Linked DNA regions of Nothobranchius furzeri. The protein of the gene in region 7 purifies or fractionates together with the protein of the main gene of each other region. This does not show direct contact. Links are inferred from orthologs where the notes say so. Each region holds a gene or a part of one and is shown on either strand. Other genes may lie near its edges. The genes, in order: stx12, napab, vti1a, snap29, vamp3, vamp8 and stx6.

Region 1 (3,823 bases), on a different chromosome or scaffold from region 7:
ATTACTGTGATGTTGCTTTAGTTTTTCTTCAGCCACTGTAAGTTTACTTCATACAGTCTTGTCTTATTTGTCTCTACAGAAGTTGGAAAACTACTGTGTTGTTCTTCTGAGTTTTCATGTTGACATATTTACTGAATACATGATAAGAAAAGCATATTTCCAGTCTGCTGTCATTGGTATGTTTATAGTAAGCTACCTATTTATACCTCGAAGCAATCCTAAAACCCAGCACTCGACTTCTGGACAAAGGGTTTGTAAAGTAACACTAAACAGTTTCTAGCTTCTCCGTCCTACTGGTTCAAAGTGGAATTACAATTGTTGTAAGCAACCCTGCAGCAGGCTGCTGTAGCTAGCGCTAACAACAAGCTAGCACCAACATGAGGCAAGTCTTACTAAGTAAGCCCCAAATTAAAAATGTCCACACTGTTGGACAAAAAATAATATTACTAAAATCCAGTAGCAACAAAGTCAGGTCACCATCAGTCTGTGATTTCGTAGCCTCCTTTAGCTTCCTCCAATGAGTGTAGGCCATGGTGAGGTTCACTCTGGTTTAAGCTCTTTGTTTCACCTCCAAAGACAAAACACTCCAACTATTACCTCCAGGCTCCACCATGGTGCTGACAAAAACAAGCTTTTTTCTTCTTCTTCTTGTGTTCTTCATTGACAGCTGGTGAATTAATTAAGCTAACTGCTAGCTATTTAGCCCTTTTAAGGATCAATGTTTCTCTGTTGTAACATTCTTCCTGTAATAAATTTAATATCATTGATAAGTGTGACTGTTTCCTTGAATGGAGAAACATTTGTAGAACAGTGGAGTGTGTGGGTTGCTTCCATGAAAAACTTCCCAAACCTCCTTGGCAGATTGTGCTGTTGACTCTTGTTTGGGTTTGCTTGTTGGATTGGATGATTGATGTCTGGTTCTGTGGTGTCCAGAGGCAGCAGAAGATCCAGAGGGAGCGGCTCATGAATGACTTCTCAGCCGCTCTCAACAACTTCCAGGCTGTCCAGCGGCGTGCAGCAGAGAAAGAGAGGGAGTCGATAGCCAGAGCGAGGGCTGGATCTCGACTATCGGTAAGGATCAATTATTTGTTATTGACAAGGCAATGGTAATATGTACTGGACTGATCCCAGAATTGGAATCTTTATTTATTTATTTGTTTGTTTATTTATGTATGTATGTTGATTGTGATTAATAAAAGAGCATAAAACAGGAGTTGTTTTCCACTGGAACCTGTGCTAAAATGGAAACTATGGTAGTATTTGAAGTACTCCAAAAACATTTGTGAGAGACAACAGCATACAGCCTTAACACACACACACACACCACCAAAGTAAGAGAATAATAATAATAATAGTAACCCTTTATATATCACAAGGAGACCAAAGTGCTGTACAGGTCAGTCAACAAGAACTTAACCAAACCTAAAATGGCTAAGAAAAGGCGGCTTGGCAGTTTCTGATCAGCTGGAGTAAACAGCCAATTTAAAATGATGGGTCTTGAAACGAGGTTTAAAATCTTCCAACATTCTGGCCTTCCTTATACCAAGAGGATGCGGCTCTGTTGCCCCAGGTTATGAGATGAGATCTGGGATAAACCGGCAGTAAGAGGGAGCAAGGCCATTCAAACATTTAAAAACAAGAATTCAAATCTTCAAATCAACCCTAAAATAAACTGGGAAGCTAGCTCTAACACCCTCTCACATCACCATGGTGGATCTTTGTCCCACTCTTCTCTGCAGGATTGTTTAAATGCTGCCACATTGGAGGGTTTCCCAGCATAAGCTTCCTGTTTAAGGTCAAAGGTCAAATGTTCTGCTTGGGAGCAGAAATCACTTGTTGATGTACTGAGGATGGATCGGCTAACGTGTGTCTTTGTCTTCTCTTTTAGGCAGAAGACAATTTTCGTGATGAGAAGCTTGTTTCGTTTGATAAGTAAGCGATTTCCATCTGGTCTCTCGAGGAACTTTGTAACCAAAGAGTTAAATGTGAATAAAGGATGAGTCGTTATAATTGTTGAGCTTGGAGTCCCTACTGATGGCTACGATGGCTGTGCTTCTCATCACTTAGGGGTTAGTAAAAGTTACAAGACTTTCTTTTATCCTTTGTTTTTGTGAAGCCAAGAGGATTTTGGTCAGCTGACTCAGACAGAGGAGGTCGGTGTCACGGAGGAGGACCTGGAGCTGATCAAGGAGAGAGAGACCAACATCAGACAGCTGGAGGTGAGACGTCACTTCCTGTTACCTCCTGTGACATCACTACCAACTGGAGGACCAGCAGCTGATTTCTGTTGGTTAATTTCAGTCTGACATCATGGATGTGAACCAGATCTTTAAGGACCTGGCTGTGATGATCCACGACCAAGGGGAGATGATTGGTGAGTGGTTCTGTACTGGTTGCAGTATTCTGGATACTGGGTCAGGTGGCCATGTGTGTACTTGTAAAAATTGGTCTTAAAGAAGCTTTGTGATTGGCTACTGGATTTTTTTCCACCTGTAATAAATTCTGTGGTATTTAGTTTATCCACTTCTTTGTTTGGATCAGTATATGTATCCCATCCATCCATTCATTTCCCTCCACTTATCCGGGGTCAGGTCGTGGGGGCAGCAGTCTAAGCAGAGAGGCCCAGACTTCCCTCTCCCCAGCCACTTGGGCCATTTGATATTGTTAAATAATCACCTAAGGATGTACAGGAGGCCATGTTTGTTTTTGTTGGTTGATTGAAGAGTCGTTTTTCGGGTTCACCTAGTGAATCAAACACTTTTATAATGTTGTCTATCCCAGTCTTCCTGGAGTTGATTAAACCTCTTGTTTGGTGTAGATGGAAAAACGTATGGAGAAGGAATTATCTTGAAGGAGTCTGTTAGGACAATTCTGGTAGTAATAAGTGTCAGATAGGCTGATGAGTCTGTCTCTCAGCTGCTGTCTCTGAGGCGTCCACGGCTCCTCCACCAGGGCCAGAGAACCAAAAAGAGCTTCCTCTGCAGGGTGTCTGGGCCCAGCCTCAGAGATCAGACAACCTGCGGAGTGGGACTGCTGTCCATGTCCAGAGCGGCTAACTGGAGCATTTGGCCAAGATCCCTACTGTGGGAAGTGTTTTGGGTATGTCCCATCCAGGTTGACCCATGGTGCACTGGAGGGAATGTATCTCTGACCTGGTCTGGGAACTGCTTTTGTCCCACGGGAGGAGCTGGTGGGAGTGGCAGGGGAAAGGTTGGTCTGTGCTTCCTGCTAGGCCTCCTGACCTTAACCAGAATGAGTATATTTGAAATGTCGCCACCCTTTAGTTCTCACCTCTCTCCTGAGCATCAGGGAGGTCCTCACTCTTGTGTCGCTGTTCACAAAATGTACAGGTTTTCCATGAAAATAGTGACTGAGTCATCAGGGGCAACGGTAGCCATCTGGAACCCTTCTCATGCTCCTGATTTATTCCATTTCCATCCTTCTGTCTGAAGGGGTGGGCAAAAGAAATGACGCCCATGGATTCTATGGCAGCTTTGTCTTGTTCCTGTTAGCTGATCTTGTGTTCTGCTGCAGATAGCATCGAGGCAAATGTGGAGAACGCTGAAGTTCACGTGGAACGAGGAGCAGAGCAGCTGCAGAGGGCAGCTATGTATCAGGTGAGTTCTTCTCTTCCATCTTCTGTCGTTAAAGAACCTCTGTGGTGGAAAAATGCTCTCACCAAGAGGCATGCGGGTGATTAGAATATGGTTTCACTCTTGCAAAGGTGAGAACCCCGAAACAAAGGAGTCAAGCCTGTTTCTGACTTAAGGACCAAGTTCACTTGTGTTTTCTACACATTTTGCAGTGGCTTTTCTAATCCGAG
Region 2 (4,418 bases), on a different chromosome or scaffold from region 7:
TGTGTCCTGTAGACACTAATGAAGGCTGGGGAGACATTTCAGCTGTTAGATCAAGGTGTTAAAAAGAAAAACGCACAGCAAGTAGATAGGTTTTGTTTTTGTTTCTACTAATTGGGCACTAGGGGGTGCTAAAAGCAAGCCAAAACTGCCTAGTCTCCCTTTAAACCCAAAAGTGGACAGAAGTATTGCTCAGATGTGTTACGTCAAATATTTACCTGGTGGATTCTTCGCCTTTGTAATAATCTGCTGCTTGTTCATAATGAGCAACAGCCTGAAACACCACCACCCCCGAAAAAAAAAAATTCAAATGACCATGTAAACATTTGATCAAATATAAACAACGTGATAACCATCAGCTGTGTCTCTGACCTTGTCGATGTCCACCAACTCCGTCTCATAAATCTCAGCGATGGTGATGTGGTGTTTAGCAGCGATGGTGAAACGACCCTAAAATTACACAGGAGCAAGGACGAAACAAAATTAAAAACACAAATCAATAAAACTATAATAGCTTAGGAGGGGGATTTGTATTAAAAACCTCACCATATCCGTGTATATTTCAATAGCTCGGTTTAGGCAGTTTATGGCCTCTGTTGAGAGAAAAACATCAGTTCAGTGAATGACAAGAAATAAGTAAAAGGAAATTTCTTTCCACTGCAGAAAACAGACTTTAGACAAAGTTCACTCATTTTCTCAATACATCTGCAGTGATCTCTAGAATGCATGAATGGCTTGTGAAACAACATCTCATGCTCCTGTTTCAGGAAGCAGAAGTGAGCAGAATTCCTGATGTTCGGACATCTCACCTCTGATTGACTAACATTAACACAACTCTACCACTGACTGTTCTGCAACACTGATATGTTATCTCCTCAAATAACACAAGCCTAAAGGAGTTCTGCTATGTTGTGGAGTTGCTCATGCTAACAGTTAGTGTCTACTAGCTCTGCTCTTTTCTGGGTGCTAAACCAACAACAGCCTTCCCCCGTCGTGAGCCAAGATGGGCGAGTCCATGAATGTTAATTCACAGCTTGATGTAGAGCTGACTGTACTTTCTAACTCAAACATTTCCCCATCTATTTTCTATGGGCGACTAATGCAGGAAATATGGGTAGAAGACTTTTTTCACGTTCAGCCTGTACACAAAACTCAGAGCTTCCAATCATATTTACATAATAATAAGTAAAAAAAAGTTTCTCAGTGAACTTGGTCTTTAAATGCACTTCTGTAGGAAACATTTACCCTAAACATCAGAATCAGGCTTACCCAGAAACTTCTGCACAGGTTGAGGAGTTTAACATTTCTGACTGCTCAAGAATTCCTGGTATTTGTCTTTGACGTTTCATCTTACTTATATCACATTTAGTTTTGAGTTGTGCCACCTGCACAGGCACAAATAAACTGCTGCAAACAGGCATTGATGTTGTTCAAAATCTGCATGTATAAAAACTACCCTTAGTTTTAAAAATAAAGAGTCTCGATCAGGGGTAAGTCTATAGAAGACAGCTAAATTTCAGACACACAAGATGCTTGGAACTAAGCTAGTATGGGGTAAACTAAAGACTGTAGATAAGTGTACACAGTCATGGGATCAAACTTGCTGCCAAACCAGGTATTAATTAGATTGGCTGCACTTTATATGAAGTTAATTTTAAAAAGTCCAAAAATGTATTTCCTTCCAGATTTTAAAACCTTTTACAAAGAGCTCCATGTAAAATTGAGTGACCTCTTACCTTGTGGATCTGCTTTTTTGAAGGCATTTCCAGCATCTATGAGATTAGTTGCTGCATCGTGTTTACTCTGCATTTGCAGGTGAAGATGAGCAGCCTGAGCAAACGCATTTCCTGCAGCTGAAAAGAAAACACAAATTAAAAGATAAAACATATCAACAGATATGCACAAGGAAGGGAAAGTAACTGTCCTCTTACCACACCAGTTTTTGGCCATTTTGTACATGTTGGCTGCCCTCACATACAGATCACAGGCCTCTTCCAGCTTGGAGGAGCTCCTGTGTGAAAGAAAAAACGTGTAAAAAAACAACAACTATAAGATACTGGTTATTAGCAGGTTAGGATCGTGTAAATGCAATAAACAAGACTGGATAATAAGTAATTACTTTTCAAAATAAAAATAGTAGATAGTATTTCATCTGTTGAGATTGTTGTCCAATAATGACAATATTTCCGCACCAACATTTTTATGGCAAAAGGCAAATATCAATAAATAATTTTCATTAGATTTGATACAACTTTGAGGTTTCTACTGTAAACATTGTGACGATTTGCACAATACGGAACAGCCAGCAGATGGTGCTACAGCAGAGCTAATGTGATCACACTTTTTAAAAAAATATTTTTTTACAGTCATACTTAAATAAAAACGAATTTAGTATTCTGTTATCGTCCATGTCAAACAACGGTTTGTTCAGTGTAATTTTTCTCAGTTTACTGGGATAAACGGCTACGTGTTAGTCTTTGTTGTTTGCAGACGTTATGGTCAGCAGAAATCCGGGGAAATAACCTTACGTCCGTAGACAAATACTCTCAATACCACAACATCTTAACAGCAGCTCCAGTCCTGTTGTGCCCAGCCATCAGCCCTGGTGTTAGGTGGTCACCTTCCGCATAGCTGGCCCTCAGCTTGAAAGCAGAAGCTAAACATCAGCTAACTAAAACTCACCCAAACAGCGACCCGAAAAACGACTGAGATGATTTAACTTTCTTCTCCGCCTCCGCCATTAAAGCTGTAGCTTCTTTTTCTTTCCCACTGTTATCCATTCTGCTTTACTTGTTTTTCTGAATCTAAAGGGGGGCGAAAAAATACTAAAGTCAACAAAGTTGCTAAGTATTGCTAACAGCAGTGTCACATCAGCAGCCAGCGCTTTCTCTGTCACGTGACAATGGGAGGGCGGTCACAGCCCTGCTGCCTTCAGGTGCTGCTCGTACGGTCCAGAGTTGGTCCATTACAAATCTATAATGTTTCATGTTATAAACTGATTGTAGACCATGCTGCAACACAATATATCAATCGATAATTTAATTAAGAAACATGTTCGTTGTTAATATTTGCTGTAGAAACAAAGGAATCGCTTCTAATCTGTCTCAGGATCATTACAGTGCGTTCATGACAATCTATATAAAACAGTTCCCTTGTGTTATCTGTTTTCAACAGCCAATTATTTTTCTATAAGCAATCAGACATTAAAGGTGACAATATTTAAGCATAAATGTTGTAATAAAACGTAATAGCGTAAATATCTTCAAAAGTGCAGTTTTAAAGGAATATTGATTAGAATTATAATAAGAAAATGCTTTCCTTTAGTCAATGCCAGTTCCATTATAAAGAGACATTTTTAATCAAAATGGGTTAGCATCATAATGAAACTGTTTGTCAGCTGAAATCTTTACAATTTTAACATAAATAATAGATAACAACTATGTTAAGTGGTTTTCCAGGCTTTGCATTATAGCACAGTGAATTAAATGTGTGTAAAATATTTTGTTGAAAAATACATGACAAACATATTTTAGGGCTATGGGTTGTGGTAGGTAACTACATGAGTCAAACATTCAAATACCTTTTTAAAATTTACAAAAATAATCACGTATTTTAGAACTATACAAAAATTATTTAAAATATGGAAAAGGAATGTTTTCTTGTAGATTATGTTACAGTATTTTGCTTAGGCTTTTTGTAGATTAGTTTGTTCTTTTCTTAGCCAAAATCATATAATCTGATTGCAGTTCAAGACTGGGTTGCATTTATCTAACAAATCTGCTGGCATTTGTTAACATGACTGCTTTTATATTTTTTTACATTTGTGATCCAGTTTCTTTTATGATTTCATTTTAAGCAATTTCTCCCCACAGGCTTCCTCTGCTGTTCCTGCCTTTCTATTGATGTTTTTTGAGTTTTAAAAATGAAAACAAGTTAACATGAAGAATATGTCAAATTTAAGAATGCACTAATTAACACAACAAAAATGTTCAAAAACCGTTTAATGTTCCGAATGGGTATTTGTGTGTAAAGAAAGTCTCGATAAACAACATGGATTTCAATCAGGCAGAGCGGAAGTCTGCCGTTTCCTGCCAGTAGTTGGGTCCTGTTGAGCAGCCCGTGCGAGGCTGTCCTGGAGACCCCGCGCTGCCTGCACCTCTAACGTCTCGGGTGAGTTTGTTACAATGTAACAATTTCTCCATTAATCCCAATATCCGCTACAAAGCTGCGATATCTGCTAACTGTTCAGCAGACACGAACCGCACTGCTACCGCAAAAGAAGCGACACACTGCCGCATCACACCGTAAACAGGCTCGTTTTCCAACGAATTCCCAAGCATACCCCCTCTCATCCAAGAGTATTCCAACATTTACTGATATTCTGCTTGCAATTAGCAATAGCTCGCCACGTAGTTGCGTTT
Region 3 (4,621 bases), on a different chromosome or scaffold from region 7:
GCTTTTAAAAGCAAATATTGTTTATTCCACACAGGTGAAATTGACCTTGGCAGATTTCACGCACATCTTTTACCTGTTACACTTTCGACAGTGATGGGATCTGGGGGCTTTGTGCCCTTGGCACACTCGGCAGTACTGCAGATACTGGGCTTCCTGCTGATTCTCCTGTTCAAAAATGAAACTGTTAAGTCAGATACCAGACTTGCTATACTTCAGGACACACTGTGCAAAAGTTGCTCAAACGTTTATGTAAAAGTCACTAATAAAAACGAGTAAATCTTACTGGTTTCCAGCCCAGAGGAATGTATCCAGGTCCAACAAACATAGCATTAAAGTAGTTGTAGAGAATGAGCACAGTCCAGTTGATGAGCATGATGAAGTTAATGCTTCCTCCTGTGGTGTCTAGCGGCCAGTACCAAATGATGGAGTCTATTATTGCCATGGTTGAGCAAATAGCTATGACAGACAAAGCTATGATTGGACCCCAGTGGCACAATCTTCGAACCTCATGAAGGTTCTCGAATGTCACAATGGTTGACAGGAAATTCATTTTCTCACATGAAGATTAGTTCAGTTTTCTACTTTTCTGAGATGTATTGACCCACGTTGGATGTGCTACGCGCTTCCTCTGCTACCTTGTGCTGTTAACGGTGCACACAATGCACATAATTCATCTCTTCTACCGAGTACCCAGCAAGCGTCCTGGCCTTGAGTAACTTGGGCTCCCTGTGTCCCATTAATCCATGACCCGGTGAAGACCAGCATCGTCTCCTGCCAACACCCGAAGCACACTATCCTCGTGAGAAACTAAAGTTCCCCATCTGTTAGACAGAAATAAAATAATAATTAAAAAAAAAAACATTAACATAGTTGTTTAAAGTGCAAGTGTGTAAATGTAAAGTACTTTGGAGGCAAGCATGCATATAAGAATTATTCTTCCCCGGAAAAATAAAAAAATCAGCTTAGACTTGAGAGATGCAGCATCCTTCAGTAGATCATATCTTGTTTGATTCATAATTTATGCAGAATTTCTCTCATTTTCTATCGTAGCAAATCTTTTCCTCTTCTGTTGATGGTAATACTGTCACTAAACATGAGGAACTTTTCTTTTCCACTTTACTAAATGCAACAAGTATCTATCTGGTTTTAAATTAAACAAAATAAAATATTTAAATGAGTATCCAACCTCACACCATTAGCACCTGCACATTGACTATTAATTAGCTTCTGTTACCAAGCTAGCTAATTTGACACAGTGATATAAACATGGCGACTCTTTAGTCAGCATTTCTGTCAGCTAGTATAACTCGACCAATCAGGATCGGATATATTTTGTAGATGTGTGATTATCAGAGTGCCTACTCGGTTAATAAATATATAAAAATAGATATTCGGTCTTTGGATCTAGTGGCAGCAGTTAGCGAACTAACGTTAGTTAGCCAGCTTGCCAACACGACTAACCTCTAAAGCATTATTGTTACCCTAAAACGCAAAGATGACACGCGGATATGAAGCTATTATTAATATTATTAAAGATAAGTGTTTGATTTAAATTTGTGAGAGGCGAAAAAACTGTCACTTTAAATTACCAACCTAGTCACTTCCTTGTCTTTTGCCGTAGATTTTCTCCGGTGGACGAACTAGGAACCTTTCTCGCCGTGCTTCAGAAGCCAAAATCCCTAAACTATTACAGATACGTTTAAATGCAAACAATTAAATTGTCAATTTTTAAAAAATAATATTACGAAAAACTCGAATGGAGAGGTAAACGCATTCGGCACGTATCGAACTAGTACTATCAAACAAATCCTCTAGTTTCTCGTCGAGCTGTTTTCAGTGCAACTACAGGAAGAGACTCCATTCGGGGATTGTTGTTATTATTCTGAGGTAACCGACAGTCAGATAGCTAATACTCATTTTAAACTCGTTCGACAGAATGTCTTCTGACTTCGAAGCCTACGAACAGGACTTTGGAACAGTCACCGCAGAAATAACTAACAAAATCGGCAAAATTCCTAAACTAAGTGGAGGTAAGACAGTTGAACTTACTATTATTAATCGGTGAGATGCTAGCTAGCATTAGCCATCAAGTCTCAGCTGAGAGGGGTAGCTAATGGTAGCAGGAGATGTGATGCATTTGCAATACATTCCCAACGTTACGCAATTATTGAGTTCTAGATATTTATACGACACCGTGGACATCACTGGCAGATTGTGAGTTTGTAGTTTAGCATGTGATAATTTAGCTCTCAAGTATTTTTTCTGGTTTAACGTTTGTTCCAAGTTGTTCTGTAATCCAGCAAAATAATTCAAACTGAGTATACACGTGTCAGGAATTTATACTTGATATAAGCATAACATCTTGGCAGCTGGCTGATTTTATTGCATGAAGATTTACTTTATTTTGAAGAGTTTGTTGTTGTGTTCAGTCAGACTTCTGTCAGTAGTGGTTCACAGAAAGATAGTTAAACTCCTCTTAAACACGACAGACAGGGAGTCAGCTTTACAGAACGTTTCAAATATGCTTTTGGTCTAAGGAGCTTTGAAAGAAAAGCGTCTGGACTTCTTTGAGTTGCTTGAAGATGTTTCACCTCTCATCCGAGAGGCTTCTTCAGTTCTAAGGTCAAATGGTGGAGAGTCCCAGATTCAAACCCAGTGGGAGTTTCCCCCGAAGAGGGAACAAAAGACCCCCTGATGATCTTCTACATAAACACATGAGCCCAGGTGTGAGGGTGGGTGTGGGTCAGTGTTGCCAGATCCAAAATCCCACAATATTGTACAGAGAGGCCTAAATTATCGTTTTTCAGTACAAATTATCGTACATTATAAATTTGATAATAACGTTCTATAAACGACTTCTCATTCCAATATAATATGACAAAGAAGGTGTTTTATATAACCTTACAGTTTCTCGCGAGAGTAGGCCCTATCGATGTGATTGGGCTATTTATTGTACAGATCCAGAGTCAGTTTTTGTAATAGACAAACAGCCAGAGTTTCGGGTGAGCTCATTGTGAAGCCTGGCCCCACCCTATCATGTGAATTCCTGAGGTCAGATGGCCCAGGATATGCGTGGGCATTGAGGCATCTGGGAAGAGATCTCAGAACTGGATTATAGATGGCAGACAGTTGGTGTCGTAAACCACTGCCTCTGTTCAAAGATGGTTGCTCACAGTGGACATAAATGGCTTCCTTTACTCCTCTTTCAAACCATCTGTCCTCTCTGTCCAAAATGTGAACGTTGGCATCCTCGAAAGAGTGACCTTTGTCCTTTAGATGCAAATGAACTGCTGAGTCCTGTCCCGTGGAGGTGGCTCTTCTATGTTGTGCCATGCGCTTGTGAAGTGGCTGTTTGGTTTCTCTGATGTAGAGGTCTGGGCATTCCTCGCTGCACTGTACAGCATACACCACATTGTTCAGTTTGTGTTTAGGAGTTTTGTCTTTCGGGTGAACCAGTTTCTGTCTGAGTGTGTTGCTGGGTCTGAAGTACACCGGTATGTTGTTTTTGGAGAAAACCCTCCTGAGTTTCTCTGATACACCGGCTACATAGGGGTTGACAAGGTTGTTGCGTCTGTCTTTCTTATCCTCCCTCGCTGGTGTCTGGTCTTCTTTTCTGTGCATCTTTGCTGACTTTATCAATGCCCAATTAGGATAGCCACATGTTTTAAGTGATTCCTTTATATGTGTGTGTTCCTTCTTTTTCCCTTCCGGCTTAGAGGGAACATGTTCTGCCTGGTGGTGTAGGGTCTTGATTACTCCAAGTTTGTGTTCCAGAGGGTGATGTGAGTTGAAGAGGAGGTACTGGTCCGTGTGTGTGGGCTTCCGCTACACTTCAATGTTGAGGTTGCCATTTTCTTCAAAGTGCACAGGAAAGGCAAGCAGTTGTCCTTTATGTTTTCCCTGGTGAACTTGATATTTTTGTCCACGGCGTTGATGTGCGTAGTGAAGGATTCCACTTCTTGTGTTTTGATTTTGACCCAGGTGTCATCCGCATATCTGTACCAGTGGCTGGGTGCTCTCCCTTTAAAAGAGATTTGCTACAGACAAAAACATGGCTGCGCCATGGGCTCCCCCGTGTCACCTATTGTAGCCAACCTTTACTTGGAGGAAGTGGAAAGAAAGGCTCTTGGCTCTACTGGACCAGCTGGATGCAACATCACCAGTGCAACGTACCATGGCAATGTTTCCGGCTTCAGAGACGACCATGTTTCTTTCAATTATATAGGTTTTTTAATCTCTACAATATATTTACAGCTCTACTGTGTTACAATGTTATTAAGAGGCATAAAAACAATGTTTTAAGTAAATTTGTTTTACAAATTTGCCTTTCCTGCTTTATCATTGCCTCATTATACCTACAATGTTGCACAGCCTTTCAGTGTAGAGTTAGCATGTTCTCATGCATGTGTGGGTAGGTACTGCACTTTCCTCCCACGGATCAAAATCGTGCAGGTTAAGTAGAGGCTAAATTATCCCTACGGGTGAGTGTGTGACTGTGTGTCCCTGTGATGGACTGGGTACCTGTCCAGAGTTTTCCTTGCCTCTCATCTGATGACTTCATTAGTTAGACACCATCTCCATGACTCTACTGAGGAAAAGAGATTTAAATAAGTGTGTTTTT
Region 4 (4,600 bases), on a different chromosome or scaffold from region 7:
TCAGGGAGCATTCATATGAATTAAAACCGCCGTGTTAAGGGAACTCGACTCCAAATTAACATGGACTAAACACCCACCTGCAAGCCAGACTCTACCAGAAACACTGCCAGAGCTATAACAGCATCTCGGCGACGCACATCTAAACTGAACACACCACGGACTTCCACTGGACACATGCATTGTAGCTTCTGAACCTGAAAGAGCACAAAAAGATTAAGATGAACGAAATATCCACCGCCTCTACTAAAAAAGGTCACTGCCTGGATCTACTCAGGAAATATGTAAGAGCATCCCATCGGTCACATGAAATAAGGTAAAAAGCTTCAGTCTATGGGGGAGTAAAAAATTGGAACCTAAAAGTATGAGATGTGATCAATTCAGGTTGTGATGGCAATGATGGGCGCATCGGGGTTAATAAGAGTGACTAATAAAGAGAAGCGCATATATAAGCTTGTGGGAACATCATTGTTTGATCTGTCTAGTAGGTGCAATTATGTTATACGACCACGAAAGAGAAGGAAAAAAGGTAATCTGGTCATTTCAAAACAATGAAATTTTTCAATCTAATTACACTTTCCTTCACTAACTGAACTTGCACATTGCATTATTAAAATACCAGTATTTAAAGTTATTATATAGTATTTAAACGTTTTACGAGATCTGGGAGCAAATAAACACTGGGGTTTTGCGGAAGTTTGTGGTAATTATGCCATAAAATGCATCACTAAGTTAAAACCTAAAGATGACATTAAAGGTTTGTGGCTTTTCCAAATAAACTTTATATCTAAAAGTCAATAATATGTCACAAGGGTTCTGCTATTTCTTTATAGTATCAGTCTCAAATGTTGCAGTGTTTCTTGTTTTACGACACCTGCATGATCCAATATTTACCTGTCTTATAACTGAAATTTTACAACAATGTAACTGAAATTATTTCTGATTTTTGTAAAAAAAAAAAACATTTGTACTGTATTCAACCCGTTATTAATACACATGAATTTTCCATGTTTTATTACCTGTTTGATATTCTAGCTAAAACTCTAAATACACAATAGATAATGGAGTGCGTGGATAGTTGGTTCAACAAAATCAATCAAATCGACTCTCGTGCGAGCTTCTCTTAAGTGGTGAAGTAAATCTTCTTCATTCTCCACCCTGTAGTTTGAACAGGTTAGTATCCACAACCAGCTGAGCACTTTCCCCCCTCATCTGTAAACCTGTTTGACCGCAGCGAGGCTGGCTACTCCGCCTGAGTGATGCAGTAGCAGGAACCACACAAGCGCAGCAACAGCCCGTTTATCTTCTGATACGGGAGAGGGAAACATTAATTCCCGTACTGGTGACTTCTAAATGCAAACATAAACGGAACTGTCAAACGTTAATCTTGTCTGTAATCAAAATAAGGCACCGCCTGGGCGTGCGGAAGCGGAGCAACACCCTAAACACCAGTGGTCATTACTGTTCCGACCTAAGCTAATTTTATGCTAATTTTTGTCAAGAGAAAATTACTCTGGATTTTTCCTCACCTTGTCGACGGGGGCAGGACGATGAGCAGCAAGTGAGCGGGCCAGCGATAGAACTGTGTTGAAATAAAACCCTCTCGTACTGCCTCCCATTAAAGACATGTTTACGATTCCATCAAGCCAGCGTTATGATTCAACAATAAGAGGAAACGGCAGAGCAGCGGCAACTAGCGTTAGGATACCGCAGTACGGACGGAAGCCCAACACGGACAATTCCATGTTGCGCCATTCAATATATTGAAGCTATTTACTTTTTTTTATTTAACCAAGTAAGCTAAGTTAAACATATCCCATCCGAATTTTTTATATTTTAAATTTTTATTTATATTATTTTATACACGAGGAGTACTTTTATACTTTTTGTTGCGCACGGCACACCACTACGTCATCCAACGTGACACAGTGCTCATCTGTAGCACTGAGTTATCGACAGTCAGAAGGTGAGTGTCGTTTTAATTATCATTTTTAGGGTGTCGTTTGGCACATGCTATTTCATAGCTGAAAAGGTGTTTACAGTCAAACTACACCGCGGCTTTGTCTCTCGGGTGTGGCTGTTTGACGTGTGGGTCGGCTAGTTCTGCTAGCAGTATCTTCTCGAACATGCTAGCCAACACCTATTAAATAACAACACAGAACAACAAATATTATTGTCTTTAGGTTGTATAATACCGGTGCCATACAGCAGTGAACTGCTTGGAGCCACCCATCATTTAAAACATGTTTTCTTCTGTGAAGACTGAAACTTGTTGAAAGTAGAAAAGAGTTCTTTTCAAAATACAGCTAAACTTTTTTCAGATTAATGTGTCAACTTATCTGTTGATGCTAATGGTAAGTTGTCGTTATGTTGTAGGGACTGTAATACGTTACAAGCTACTTTTTTTATATTATTATCTATCTTGGCAGGTGTTCTCACGTGTATTTTTAGAAAAGTAACTTATGAGGACTTATTTGGATTTTAATCACTTCTTTTATGACTTATTTCAGTTTCTCACAACATGATATTATTTCACTTTCTTAATGTCAAAAGCTTTGCTTAGTGGTTTTTATACAGCAGATGAGCACACTTAATCCTGTTGACATATATTTAAGACTTTAGATAATATTATTTTGTCAACACTGTGCGTTTAACTTTCAGATGGCCTACCCAAAATCTCACAATCCATTTGCTGATGACGAGGAGGAGGAAGGATTTAAGCCTAAAAATAGGGATTTTGATGGTGAAGCTGATGACAGCGGGCTGTCTGACGCTGAGAGGAGGCAGAGGTATCTCCGACAGGAAGTAATGCGCACAGCACAGTCTGCTGTGGATAGCAGCCATCGTTCCCTTGGTCTCATTTATGAATCTGAGAAGATGGGTGTGGAAACTGCAGAGGTATAAGTCCATCCATCTATCCATGCATTCTTCATCCATTTTTTGCTCATTTATTTTAATGTTCTTCTTTCTCTTTTGGCTTTTGCCTTCAATGGTCCCTATGGTGAATTGTCTGTCGTCATTCAGTCCTTTCCTATCTGCATTCTCTACCCTCACATTAACTTCACATCCTCTTTCACCGCATCCATAAATATCCTTCCTCGGTTGCTCATTTATTTTTATGTGTATATGTGTTTAGGAGTTGGTGCGACAAGGTGAAGCTCTGAAGAGGGCTGACAAGATGTTGGAGGGTATGGATCAGGACCTGAAAACCAGCCAAAAGCATATTAACTCTATCAAGAGTGTGTGGGGAGGTCTTGTCAATTACTTCAAGGGTAAGCCAGATGCAAAGCCAACCCCTGAAGAGCCAAAAGCCTACGAGACCAATGAACGGTACGTTTCAGTCACTCCTGTGCTGCTGTCATATCAATACCATTTTCTTATTTGTTGCAGGTCCAACACTTTAGACTTTTTACTGCTTTTGCTATTGTCATTTTTACAAATATTCAATAACTTTTATTTTAAAGTTGAATGCAAATCAAGTTCTAAAGCTTAATGGAATAGAAGTTATAAAATATTACAGCATTTAAAGAATCATAATTATTAGGATTAAAAGTTGAAATCTGACTTCATACTAATACAACTGATTCATTTACTAGACCTTCTAAGCTACAACGCTACAAAATGTTAGAAATGTATAATGGTAAATGGCCTGTATTTGATATAGCGCCACCTAGAGTCCTATAACCCCCCAAGGCGCTTTACATCACAGTCATTCACCCAGTCACACCCTGGTGGGGATGAGCTACGATGTAGCCACAGCTGCCCTGGGGCGCACTGACAGAGGCAAGTCTGGCGAGCGAGCACTGGCACCACCGGTCCATTTGACCACCATCAGCAGGCAAGGGGGGTAAAGTGTCTTGCCCAAGGACACAACGACAGCGACAAACTGAGCGGGGCTCGAAGCTGCAACCTTCTAATTACGGGGCGAGCACTGAGCTCCTGTGCCACCAACACCTCATAGTATCAGTAGTTGACCTAAAGTTACTGTTTTATTTCTAAAGTATCCCTGAATTTACAAACCAAGCACTGCTGGAGGATTTTCAGAGGTTACTACAGGTGAGGTGTAGCTCCTCCCTCACCTCTAGCACATGTACTAAGGTGCTTCATGTGTTTAATGAAAGTAGCCCCAAACGTTATTTATCATAGAATCCAGAACATGATCATTATCTGGAAATTTCAGTTCATTTCTTGTTTTGAATTGTACTTTTTGTCTCAGATTACAGAAGGCCATGTCCAGCAGCAGAGAACATGAAGATAAATACCAAGCGAGCCACCCCAATCTAAGAAAACTGGAGACAGGAGGTGGGCGTTGGCACATGAACCTGGGTATGTTTTAATCATCCCATGAACCAGCCGTCATCATTTCTCCTTCCTGTGTTCCAGGTTTTGGAGCAGCTTCATCCTTGGATTCTGGCTCATCCGGACAGAATGGATACCCACAGAACAGCTACCTCAAGGAGGCTCACCACACCCTTGATAAAAATTTGGGTAAAAATAATTCATTTCTGTTATATTATACTGAACCTTGACTAAATTGTGCAATTTTCTAATCACATGATGAGAAATACCAAAGTTAATGTTAAAAATAAAAGTAGAATGTCTT
Region 5 (3,823 bases), on a different chromosome or scaffold from region 7:
CAGTTCGCCACTTTTCACAAAATCTTCTGGTTGCCACTGGTCCTGGCTGTTTTTCTTCCAGTTCGACGAGTTTTCTTTTGGAAGGCTGGCTGACTCCAGTTAAAAACTGCCACATTTCACCGCTAGTTTTAACATGAAGCTAACGGCTAACTTGATAAACTGATTCAATGGGATAGGTGGAAATGACGTTGGATGCGGCGTTCACGTTTCGCGTACGTTTGTGTAAGTTGCATGCAGGCGGGAGGAGTATCAGAAATCCGTGGAAGATGACTGATAAACATAACTACAGGTGCTGGCCAGTAAATTAGAATATCATCAAAAGGTTGAAAATATTTCAGTAATTCCATTCAAAACGTGAAACTTGTACATTATATTCATGCAATGCACACAGACCAATGTATTTCCGATGTTTATTACGTTTAATTTTGATATTTATAGGTGACAACCAATGAAAACATCAAATCTGGTATCTCAGAAAATTAGAATATTCTAAAGGGCAATGAAAAAATGTTTGTTTCTCTAATGTTGGCCAACTGAAAAGAATGAACATGAAAAGAATGTGCATGTATAGCACTCAATACTTAGTCGGGGCTCCTTTTGCCTCAATAACTGCAGTAATGCGGCGTGGCATGGACTCGATCAGTCTGTGGCACTGCTCAGGTGTTATGAGAGCCCAGGTTGCTCTGATAGTCGTCTTCAGCTCCTCTGCATTGTTGGGTCTAGCGTATTGCATCCTCCGCTTCACAATACCCCATAGATTTTCTATGGGGTTAAGGTCAGGCGAGTTTGCTGGCCAATCAAGGACAGGGATACCATGGTCCTTGAACCAGGTGCTGGTGGTTTTGGCACTGTGTGCAGGTGCCAAGTCCTGTTGAAAGGTGAAGTCTGCATCCCCATAAAGTTGGTCAGCAGCAGGAAGCATGAAGTGCTCTAAAACTTCCTGGTAGACGGCTGCATTGACCCTGGACCTCAGGAAACAGAGTGGGCCAACACCGGCAGATGACATGGCACCCCACACCATCACTGACGGTGGAAACTTTACACTGGACCTCATGCAACGTGGATTCTGTGCTTCTCCGCTCTTCCTCCAGACTCTGGGTCCTTGATTTCCAAAGGAAATGCAGAACTTGCTTTCATCAGAAAACATAACTTTGGACCACTCAGCATCAGTCCAGTCCTTTTTGTCCTTGGCCCAGGCGAGACGCTTCTTGCGCTGTTTCTTGTTCAAGAGTGGCTTGACACATGGAATGCGACACCTGAATCCCATGTCTTTCATGAGTCTCCTCGTGGTGGTTCTTGAAGCGCTGACTCCAGATGCAGTCCACTCTTTGTGGATCTCCCCCACATTTTTGAATGGGTTTGTCGTCACAATTCTCTGCAGGGTGCGGTTATCCCTAGAGCTTGTACACTTTTTTCTACCACATTTTTTCCGTCCCTTCGCCTGTCTGTTAATGTGCTTGGACACAGAGCTCTGCGAACAGCCAGCTTCTTTAGCAATCACCTTTTGTGTCTTGCCCTCCTTGTGCAAGGTGTCAATGATTGTCTTTTGGACAGCTGTTAAGTCAGAAGTCTTCCCCATGATTGTGGTGCCTTCAAAACAAGACTGAGGGACCTTTTAAAGGCCTTTGCAGGTGTTTTGAGTAAATCAGCTGATTAGAGTGGCAGCAGGTGTCTTCTATATTCAGCCTTTTCAGAATATTCTAATTTTTTGAGATACCAAATTTGGAGTTTTCATTAGTTGTCACTTATGAATATCAAATTTAAATGTAATGAACATTGGAAATACATTGGTCTGTGTGCATTGCATGAATATAATGTACAAGTTTCACGTTTTGAATGGAATTACTGAAATATTTTCAACCTTTTGATGATATTCTAATTTACTGGCCAGCACCTGTAATTTGGTGCAAACATTTACTCGCCAGGTGGCAGGTAGAGCTCAAAAATTTACTCGCCAAATGGAGCAATTTACTCGCATTTGGCGAGTGGCGAGTGTTAATTTCGGACCCTGCTCGCATCCATCAGTGCGCCCCAGGGCAGCTGTGGCTACATTGTAGCTCATCCCCACCGGTGTGTGAATGTGTGTGTGAATGGGTGAATGACTGATAGTGTTGTAAAGCGCCTTGGGGGGTTCCAGGACTCTAGAAGGCGCTATATCAAATACAGTCCATTTTACCTTGCAGTTCTTCCACCAGTACTTTCTTTTCAGTTTAGCAGCACTGGTCTCAAACTGGGAGGCCCCGGCCTGCAGAGCATCTGCTCTGTCATCCAGGTCGGACAGCTTCTGATCCCGTTCCAGCACTTTGTCGACATTAACGCGCATAATATCCACTACCTGTTCAAACGAAACAACAGTTAATGCTTCTGCAGAGACAAGCTTCAGGAAATAAGCAAGTGTAGCGTTACCCAACCCCAACATACACATCCTGAAAACATGAATCACATACAGACTTTATTTCACTAACAGAATTCACAATGGGGCAGGTAAACGTGTGTGTATCCACAGTGTCACTGGGTAGACACGCCCATATGTTCCACTGATCCACAAACCTCACTACTGCCCCTCCCCTCTGAGTAGTGGAGGAGTGTGTAAGCCCATACAGGCCTTACATAACCACTGAGACGGCGATTACATAACCATCTGACAACCAATTGGAGAGTGTGTGACACGCTTAGGTTAAAGTTCTGTAGAGGAGGGGTGGACCTCAAGGGGAAAGCCAAAGAGAGAAAGACGGGAAACTGGGATTATGGGTAGAGACTTGGCAGTGTTTTTAACCAATGTCCTCATCGACACAGTTATGAATCTTTAAACTGAAGAGGAGAACTGTGGTGGCGTCGCCATGTGTTATGTAAGTTTCAGCACCAGACAGAAGCGAGGGGTGTGTGTACGAGCTGGTTGATAACGATATCAATAAAAATGCCTTCAGAGTGTTAAAGAAGCAAATAAGCCACATCTAGAAAGCAGAGTTAAAACATAATTTAAAAGTAGCATTTCCACAAAAGTACTAATATATTTTTCTGGTAATAAATCCTCAAGTTAGGATTTTTTTAATTCAAGCTAAACTTTAACTTACTTCATCCACCTGGGCCTGAGTTTGCTGCAGGCGCTTGTTGCTTCCTTCTGGGCCGACGTTTGACCTGATGAAGTGAGAAACATGATATTTCCCATAAATACACCAAATAACATTAAGCTGTGAGCAACATTTTTATTATTAATTGGCTACTTTTTAGAGTGGATCGGTTTCACCCTCACTAAAGCACCCTGGTATGAGCTAAACTGGAAACACACAATGGCAACCGTGATAACTACTGTATGATTTTCTTGTGTTTCTTTGAAACGTTTAAATTATGGTTAGCAGCTTTGAAACTAGAAAACAAATAAACAGATTATTTTGTAATTTATTAAAATTGATCACTATTACAGGACAGCGACCTGGGTCTCTTTGGTGTGTGTTAGGGCTGTAGCGAAGCCTCGACGAAGTCGACGGCTCGATTCTAAAAATTTGTCGACGTCAGATCCGGAAGTCGACGCACCGCGCCCACTTGTTGCATCCCCAGGAGTTTGTAAATAGAGGAGGAATCTGCCTGTTTTTCCTCTAGTTCGCCCTCTTCTCTGCCTTCACTAACATCTCCGCCAAATACCGAAGACCCGGAACAATGTCCGTCCACTACTAGATTATTTTCCTGTTTTGCCCCTTCGTCTCCCGGCAACGGACAACAACTTCCGGGGTCAGATGTGCGCTGCTCCGTCTCTATCGCAGATGTAGAAAATCACCGGGAGCGCTTCTCCCTTCATTAAGGAGCTTCTTTCAGACATGAGGAG
Region 6 (2,535 bases), on a different chromosome or scaffold from region 7:
TATCTCCTAGGCAACCGGGGCGGGGCCAAGACATCAAGGCACGGTTCCATTGTGAAACATTGACATTGTGAAACACCCTCTTTGTTTACCAACTATCCCATCTCCATACTTCCTGGTTCTAGAGCCAATCGTATTAGAGCCTGCAGGATTGCCAAATCCTTAACCCAAATGTTGCTGCATTCGTATTCTTAATCTGAGACCAGCCAGCAAAAAGCAGCACTGTTGTGGAAATGTTAGCCAGTAACGACCAGGTCCACCATCCAGCTTTTCAGGAGGGGAGAGCTACTCCCCACTACCACGACTGTTTATAGTGGGGATGGTGGGCTGCTGACCTCGACTCAGGGTGTTGTGGATCTGTGGGTGGAGTACTTTGAATACCTCCTCAATCCCACCAGCACGTCTTCCAGTGAGGGTGCTGCTGGTCCTTTGTGCAACAGTCATTTGAGCTTGTGCAATAATGACCTTTTTGCACACTTTTGCAGGAGCGAGGAGGGTTTGAGGATGCAGCGCCAAAGGACAAGGTTCAGGATCTGAAGAACCAAGTGGATGGAGTGAAAGAAATCATGACGCAGAACGTGGATCGGATCCTGGCCCGTGGAGAGAGGCTGGATGACCTCATGGGCAAGTCTGAGGATCTCCAAGCAGGGGTCAGTGTTACCACTGGAGAGTGGGGGTCTTACCTGCTGGTACTGATACCAGTACTGATGGCACCAGTAATGTTGGCTGAGCCGTGGCTGGTTTTGTGAGTTTATTAGTGGTGGTGTTTATCTTGAAACATGTTGTAGATGGTGATGGGCCTTATTTTCAAATGACTGGCTTTTATTTATATATAAAGTAAACTTTTTTTAAATATATTTTGAACGACCAATATTTTTGGATGTGCTGTGTTTGACTGTTGATGCTCCGTGTTTTTATTTGTGCATCGAGCCTTAAAACCTCACCTCTTACCGCCCAGAGTTTCTTCTTTAAAACTCATATTAAATAACGAGCTTCCTCCACACCGTGTTTCATCAACTGTCCCAGGGCAGCAGTTCAGCAGACTTGTTTGTTTACATTTTTGCCGCTGCGTGCCTGCACAGTGTGAGAGACGGGAGGGAGGGGCGACGCTCTGTTCAGCATCTCTACGGGCTCCACAGCAGCAGCGGCAGCCAGCTGGTTTGATCCGCTCTGAAAGGCGTTGATCAGGATTTGCAGATCACATTTTTTTAACGGAGATCAGGCGCATGCAGGCATCATGCGTCACTCAATACAGCGTCCATGTGGAAACTTGCCTAGGAACCTTTATCTGCTGCTCTTAATCATGCAAATTTATATAGATTATCGGGGAAAAAAGTTGATTTGTGGGTGACTTGCTCTTTAAATGTGTTTCAACCATGCCGATGGTTTCAACAGACACACTCGGGCAGAAATGTGTTGCTTTCCCTTCACCTGCAGGTTGTAAATATTCAATATATTCAGCGTAATTAAATGATTAACAAGAAGCAGCAGGAACTTGGAAGCTGTGCGTGTTCCTTTTTAACAGGATCTTGTTTTTGCTGTCCAAACCTGCAGCTTCGACCTAAAACCTGGACCATCTCACACCTGTGTGTCTCTGATCTCCTCCTCAGGCTCAGACCTTCAAACAGTCGGCTGGTAAAGTAGCTCGTGCCTACTGGTGGAAAAATGTCAAGCTGATCGTGGTCATCGTGGTGATTGTCGTCATCATCATCCTCGTCATCGTCCTTCTGGCCACTGGAGTGATTCCTACCAGTTCATCCGTGGGTCCGATCACCCCCACCACCAAGCCCTGAACTCGTGTCCGTAGTGACTCCATGAGAGCAGAAACACGTCGCTGTTGTAAACTCAGTAATATATCAACTCTATGAAAAATCACTTTGGTTTGGTGAATATTTAATATTTCCTCCGGTTACTTTCATGCTTTTGTGTAACGCACTGTAATGACACATAAGCTTGTGAAAATCATAAAAATACTTTGAATGACCGAGTCTTCTGAACAAAGTTCTCTGACTTCACTGTTTTTTTCCATTTGAACACCAGATTTCATTCTGTCCCTAACTGTTTCTGCTCCATCGTGACAAAGAAGGAGTTTGTAGATAAAGAACGAACTCCTTCAGTCTCGTGTGTGACGTCATCCAAGGTGGCAACGGTGAAGCTAGCGCTAACTGGGCCAGTGGTATTAGGAGAGGCTGGAGCTTGGGATGAACTCTGTTCCCTTGCCAGTAGTTGTGTTCGACATGCAGCGTGTAGGAGCCTCGGCTCTTTGTGCTACAGCAGCAGGCGGGGAGGTGAAACGGTTTCTAACACAACAGTAGGTTACTTACCCACATTTTAGGTTTTTTTAAGTGTGTTTGTTTCTTTGTTACTTAACGTTTAGCTGCTACTCTTCTGCTGTTTAATGTTCAGGGTCTTCCAGCCTACCAGCTGCAGAAGATTATTTATTCCCCTTCAGACCGCCCTCTGCTGGGCTTCTCTTAACCAGTAACCAGCTGGAACTGGGATTTCTAGTTTATGGGTCTTTCATTTTTATTTATTGTA
Region 7 (3,823 bases):
GTCCCTGATTCTGGACTTGTCTGTGTGGTCATCAAAAGTAGATTCACCTCACAGAGTTCTCCATGTTCTCTTTTTTGCAGGGAGGTAGAGAAGGCAGTGCATGTAGCTCAGAACCTCCATCACAGATGGAGCAACCTGAAGCAGGAAGGGGGCAGAGCCTCCAAAGAAGAAATGGACTGGACAACCAATGAGCTGAGGAACAGCTTGCGATCCATTGAGTGGGATCTGGAGGACCTTGACGAGACCATCAATATCCTTCCCCTTTGAATTGGTCTCATAACTTTTATTGGTCCCAACAGGAAGCTAGTCAGTAACCATAGTAACCATTCGCTCCATCAACACAAAATCAGAATATAGCTAAAGAAAGGAACTAACAACATGGTCACATGAATAGGGTTGTCATGTGACCACATGGTGGTCATTTAGGTGTTTTACTGAAACAAAAATAAAACATTTTCTAACTACATGTGAACGCATCGTGGTGTCCAACCCTAAGAAGTTCCACCTAGATGCAGCAGAGCTAATGAGGAGGAGGGCCTTCATCACCAGTACAAGGCTCTCGGTCAAGGTAAGTCCAAAACCAGAGCTGGTCCAGGGTTGGGGTTCTGGGCCTAAAGTCAAATGGTCTCCTTGTTTTGCAGGACATGAAAGAGCAGATGTTGAGCCCAGCTGCTAACCCAAACCCAAACCCGGCTGACAGACAGAACAAACAGGTAGCTGTTTACTCTCAACTCCTCTTATTGCACTTGTGCCCATGAGTCAGATGATTCACAGGATGAAGATGATGATGATTGGGGAGCTTTTCTCTATGTTTTGACTTTTCCTGTTGAGGTTCTGCTCAGGGAGTGTGGAGCCCAGGGCCCCATCCGGCAGTCTAGTTCTGATAAGTATGGCCGATTGGACCATCAGCTGCAGAACGCCAACTCTCAGTTCATTGAGGAGCAGCAGGTGCAGCAGCAGGTAGGAGAAAACCTGAACAGCACCAAGACCCAGTCTTTGGATAGAACAAGTTTCACAGCAGTCTGTGTTTTCCAGCTGATTGCAGAACAGCAGGATGAACAACTGGAACTGGTGTCCGGAACCATCGGGGTACTGAGGAACATGTCAGAGCGAATTGGCATGGAGCTGGATGAGCAGACTGTGTAAGAATCCAAACACTATCTTGGTTGGACCAGCAGTACTGGTTTCCAGAGATCTTTCAGATCCATGCATTCATTTCTATGTGTGTATTAAAGCTGGGAGGTAAATCAATTTTATTGATTAATTTGAATTTTCCATTTGTGAAGATCTAATTTAGGAAAATATGGATTTTTCCCTCTGTTGGGCTCCCGTAGTTCAAAGTACAGTCAGCCTGGATGTCTCTTATATCGCCTACAAGACAGTGACTAAATCGGTTCGAATGAATGTTTTTCTACTAAAACAGGCCGTAGTGTTCCAATTTTAGCAGAAATGGTAAATGACTTGCATTTGTATGACGCTTTCTAGAGTTTTACAACGCCCAAGGCACTTTACAGCAAATCCAGTCGTTCCTGCACGCACATTCACACACTGGTGGTGATGAGCTACACTGTAGCGACACTTCCAGAACACATCAAGCATAGCAGTTCAAATCAAGGCAGCCAGGAAGTCAAACACAAAAGCTGTTTAAAATGTCCAGAAACTTTCAAAATAAAAGTCATGCACATTTCCAGTTGCTCAACTAGTATAATTCTACATGGTTACCTTCGTATCCGAAGTTTCTTCTTCCGGCTCTAGGAGGGTGCAGACGCTTTTCTTCTCCTCTCCTCCATATCTTATCCTCAAGGCCTTTGTCTGTCTGTGTGTGCTGGGTGCACGGCTGCTTCTGCATTTTTTCTGGAAACTGGAAACTGAAATTCACTAAAATGGATCTCGTCAGTTGGTCTCTCCACGCGGTTGCTAAAACTTTTTCAACGATGAGAACGGGGAAAGGGGCTCCCGGATGCCCCTCCGGGACAGACCAGCTGTCTGTGGAGGACTCTGAAGACGTGTGGATATTCGTGGTGTTGGTGTCGGGTTTCCTGCTGGTCGGCATTGGAGGCTACCTGGCTTACCGGAAAATTAATGAGCTGTCGAGGAATATTGGCCGGATCCCGGAGCTCAGAGATGGTTTGTACCGCGCTGTGAATTCACAGACTCAAATAATTGTCAAGATGAATTGTAAGCTTGGGACTTTGGCCGACATTCATTCTTTGGCTCAAAAGATGGATGATATCAAGGAGAGAGTGGACGAATCAGCATGGATTGGGATAGATTAATGTCCATTATTGGGATTTTGAGAGGTTGAGGACCATCAAACTTTAAGACAGAGAGGAAATTATCTCTGTCTGGCCCCAAAACAATTTCTAATCGGAATCTGGCATCCTTGAGCCTGCAAGGCTACAACAAAAACTCCCCCCTCAGAAGATAAGTGGAATGTGCCGTCGCTATGGCAACTCAACACAGTGGGAAGGCCGCTGAATTGTTCCAGGGTCACTCCAACCCTCAATGCTCCTCCCCCTATCCACACTGAGGTGACATGTGCTGCTTCTATCGTGGCTGCAGGAGTTGGAGTGGGGATAGTCCCAACCCACCACCCCACCTAGTAGACACTTATGTTGTGTTGTCTGAAGTCTGTTGCATATCTGTTTTTTTTTTCTTCTTCTTCTTCTGGCACTCACAGGGAGCAGTCGCTTCTGCCTTTTCCTCCCTTATCTGTATTTTCCCCAAGGCTCTTTTTGTCCCGTCTGCCTACAGAGCGCTTCTCTGCATTTCCTCTGCAATCACCATTTTTCAGCATGGACTTAATTAATTGGTCATTCAACGCGATTGATAAGATTTTTTCTACAATGGGGACGGAGGAGGGGGCTCGCGCCTGTCCTCAGGGGACACATGCAGCGGGATATATGTTCGATTCCTGGAAGAAGTGGAATATCATCTGTCTCTCTCAGCTGTCCATTGAGGACGTCGAAGATATGTGGATATTTGGCCTGATGATCGTTGGATTTCTTCTGATAGGAGTGGGAGGATATCTGGCTTTCCGTAAAATTGGGATGACGGGAGCGATTGGAGGGCGACCCGCAACCATGGACAGCACCGTCCGTGTGGATACCTCACAGACTGGGACGTTGCTCGAGGTGAATCGCAAGCTGGACAATGTCTTAGCTGCGTTACCGGTGTTAGCGCGCAGGATTGATAACATCTCGGAAAGGGTCACCGGACGGTGTGGAGATGTTTAATCACTGAATTGGCTTCACTGGAGGACTTGAATGATCAATACAGACTTAAGGCAGAGAGGGAAAATTATCTCGTCCTGACCCAAACAAAGTTCTGTTATTGAATCTGACGCCAAAAGCAGCCTTGGAGTTGCGTGCAAAAACCCCCACAATGGAAGGAATGCAGACAAATGCTGTGAAACTCTATCCACCCCCCACCCCCCCGCCTTCAGATTGTGGTCTCTACCGAGGTCATTAAGCTAAAGGACTCACTGCTCTCTGTGCTTCCCCATGACCTCCCTCCCACCTGCGGAGCCAGCTGGTTGAGCGCCACAGGCAGCCCCCGCTGAGGAAACCAGGGTCCCAGCCCCTCCCCCCTACCTACCGGGTCTCATGTTGTGAACTGTGACGTTCGTGCTTACATGTCAGGTGTTTTTTTTTTGCATTAGAGTGCTGCACCCTGCTGGTGTAACCCTGTTAATGCCTTTTTTCTCCCTCCCCTGAACTTTCCTCATGTATTCCCTCATTCTTCTACAAAGGAGCGCCGTCATGGCTGCTCCCATGGTCTGCCTGTATCTGTCCTGTCTATATGTGTGTGTGTAACCTTGGTC

What was found.
Region 1: the proteins of stx6 (region 7) and stx12 purify together in Homo sapiens (affinity purification with mass spectrometry; 4 studies listed by BioGRID and IntAct, counting the BioPlex papers as one, with this or other methods). This does not show direct contact. The link is inferred for Nothobranchius furzeri from reciprocal best matches to the Homo sapiens genes STX6 and STX12.
Region 2: the proteins of stx6 (region 7) and napab purify together in Homo sapiens (affinity purification with mass spectrometry; 3 studies listed by BioGRID and IntAct, counting the BioPlex papers as one, with this or other methods). This does not show direct contact. The link is inferred for Nothobranchius furzeri from reciprocal best matches to the Homo sapiens genes STX6 and NAPA.
Region 3: the proteins of stx6 (region 7) and vti1a purify together in Homo sapiens (affinity purification with mass spectrometry; 3 studies listed by BioGRID and IntAct, counting the BioPlex papers as one, with this or other methods). This does not show direct contact. The link is inferred for Nothobranchius furzeri from reciprocal best matches to the Homo sapiens genes STX6 and VTI1A.
Region 4: the proteins of stx6 (region 7) and snap29 purify together in Homo sapiens (co-immunoprecipitation; 3 studies listed by BioGRID and IntAct, counting the BioPlex papers as one, with this or other methods). This does not show direct contact. The link is inferred for Nothobranchius furzeri from reciprocal best matches to the Homo sapiens genes STX6 and SNAP29.
Region 5: the proteins of stx6 (region 7) and vamp3 purify together in Homo sapiens (affinity purification with mass spectrometry; 5 studies listed by BioGRID and IntAct, counting the BioPlex papers as one, with this or other methods). This does not show direct contact. The link is inferred for Nothobranchius furzeri from reciprocal best matches to the Homo sapiens genes STX6 and VAMP3.
Region 6: the proteins of stx6 (region 7) and vamp8 purify together in Homo sapiens (affinity purification with mass spectrometry; 3 studies listed by BioGRID and IntAct, counting the BioPlex papers as one, with this or other methods). This does not show direct contact. The link is inferred for Nothobranchius furzeri from reciprocal best matches to the Homo sapiens genes STX6 and VAMP8.

What each region holds. Positions count from the first base shown.
Region 1 is NC_091751.1:25,520,265-25,524,087, reverse strand, and holds part of stx12 (syntaxin-12), read left to right. Parts: intron 1-933; coding exon 934-1,071; intron 1,072-1,888; coding exon 1,889-1,932; intron 1,933-2,116; coding exon 2,117-2,219; intron 2,220-2,301; coding exon 2,302-2,374; intron 2,375-3,534; coding exon 3,535-3,617; intron 3,618-3,823. UniProt on the Homo sapiens protein: SNARE promoting fusion of transport vesicles with target membranes. Together with SNARE STX6, promotes movement of vesicles from endosomes to the cell membrane, and may therefore function in the endocytic recycling pathway.
Region 2 is NC_091753.1:46,790,378-46,794,795, reverse strand, and holds the start of napab (N-ethylmaleimide-sensitive factor attachment protein, alpha b), read right to left. Parts: upstream 2,903-4,418; 5' UTR 2,778-2,902; coding exon 2,680-2,777; intron 2,009-2,679; coding exon 1,734-2,008; intron 591-1,733; coding exon 544-590; intron 448-543; coding exon 370-447; intron 272-369; coding exon 216-271; intron 1-215. UniProt on the Homo sapiens protein: Required for vesicular transport between the endoplasmic reticulum and the Golgi apparatus. Together with GNA12 promotes CDH5 localization to plasma membrane.
Region 3 is NC_091756.1:39,753,667-39,758,287, reverse strand, and holds the start of vti1a (vesicle transport through interaction with t-SNAREs homolog 1A), read left to right. Parts: upstream 1-1,776; 5' UTR 1,777-1,936; coding exon 1,937-2,030; intron 2,031-4,621. Other genes in the region: palmitoyltransferase ZDHHC6, read right to left, coding at 74-165, 284-550. UniProt on the Homo sapiens protein: V-SNARE that mediates vesicle transport pathways through interactions with t-SNAREs on the target membrane. These interactions are proposed to mediate aspects of the specificity of vesicle trafficking and to promote fusion of the lipid bilayers.
Region 4 is NC_091757.1:55,818,982-55,823,581, reverse strand, and holds the start of snap29 (synaptosomal-associated protein 29), read left to right. Parts: upstream 1-1,706; 5' UTR 1,707-1,963; intron 1,964-2,658; coding exon 2,659-2,895; intron 2,896-3,133; coding exon 3,134-3,327; intron 3,328-4,213; coding exon 4,214-4,299; intron 4,300-4,380; coding exon 4,381-4,485; intron 4,486-4,600. Other genes in the region: pi4kab (phosphatidylinositol 4-kinase, catalytic, alpha b), read right to left, coding at 78-194, 1,527-1,625. UniProt on the Homo sapiens protein: SNAREs, soluble N-ethylmaleimide-sensitive factor-attachment protein receptors, are essential proteins for fusion of cellular membranes.
Region 5 is NC_091743.1:51,782,927-51,786,749, reverse strand, and holds part of vamp3 (vesicle-associated membrane protein 3), read right to left. Parts: intron 3,139-3,823; coding exon 3,075-3,138; intron 2,850-3,074; exon of another isoform or gene 2,692-2,849; intron 2,336-2,691; coding exon 2,177-2,335; intron 1-2,176. UniProt on the Homo sapiens protein: SNARE involved in vesicular transport from the late endosomes to the trans-Golgi network.
Region 6 is NC_091757.1:27,723,557-27,726,091, forward strand, and holds the end of vamp8 (vesicle-associated membrane protein 8), read left to right. Parts: intron 1-482; coding exon 483-647; intron 648-1,607; coding exon 1,608-1,790; 3' UTR 1,791-1,998; downstream 1,999-2,535. UniProt on the Homo sapiens protein: SNAREs, soluble N-ethylmaleimide-sensitive factor-attachment protein receptors, are essential proteins for fusion of cellular membranes.
Region 7 is NC_091748.1:80,944,003-80,947,825, reverse strand, and holds part of stx6 (syntaxin-6), read left to right. Parts: intron 1-80; coding exon 81-250; intron 251-473; coding exon 474-568; intron 569-641; coding exon 642-713; intron 714-816; coding exon 817-960; intron 961-1,035; coding exon 1,036-1,142; intron 1,143-3,823. UniProt on the Homo sapiens protein: SNARE promoting movement of transport vesicles to target membranes. Targets endosomes to the trans-Golgi network, and may therefore function in retrograde trafficking.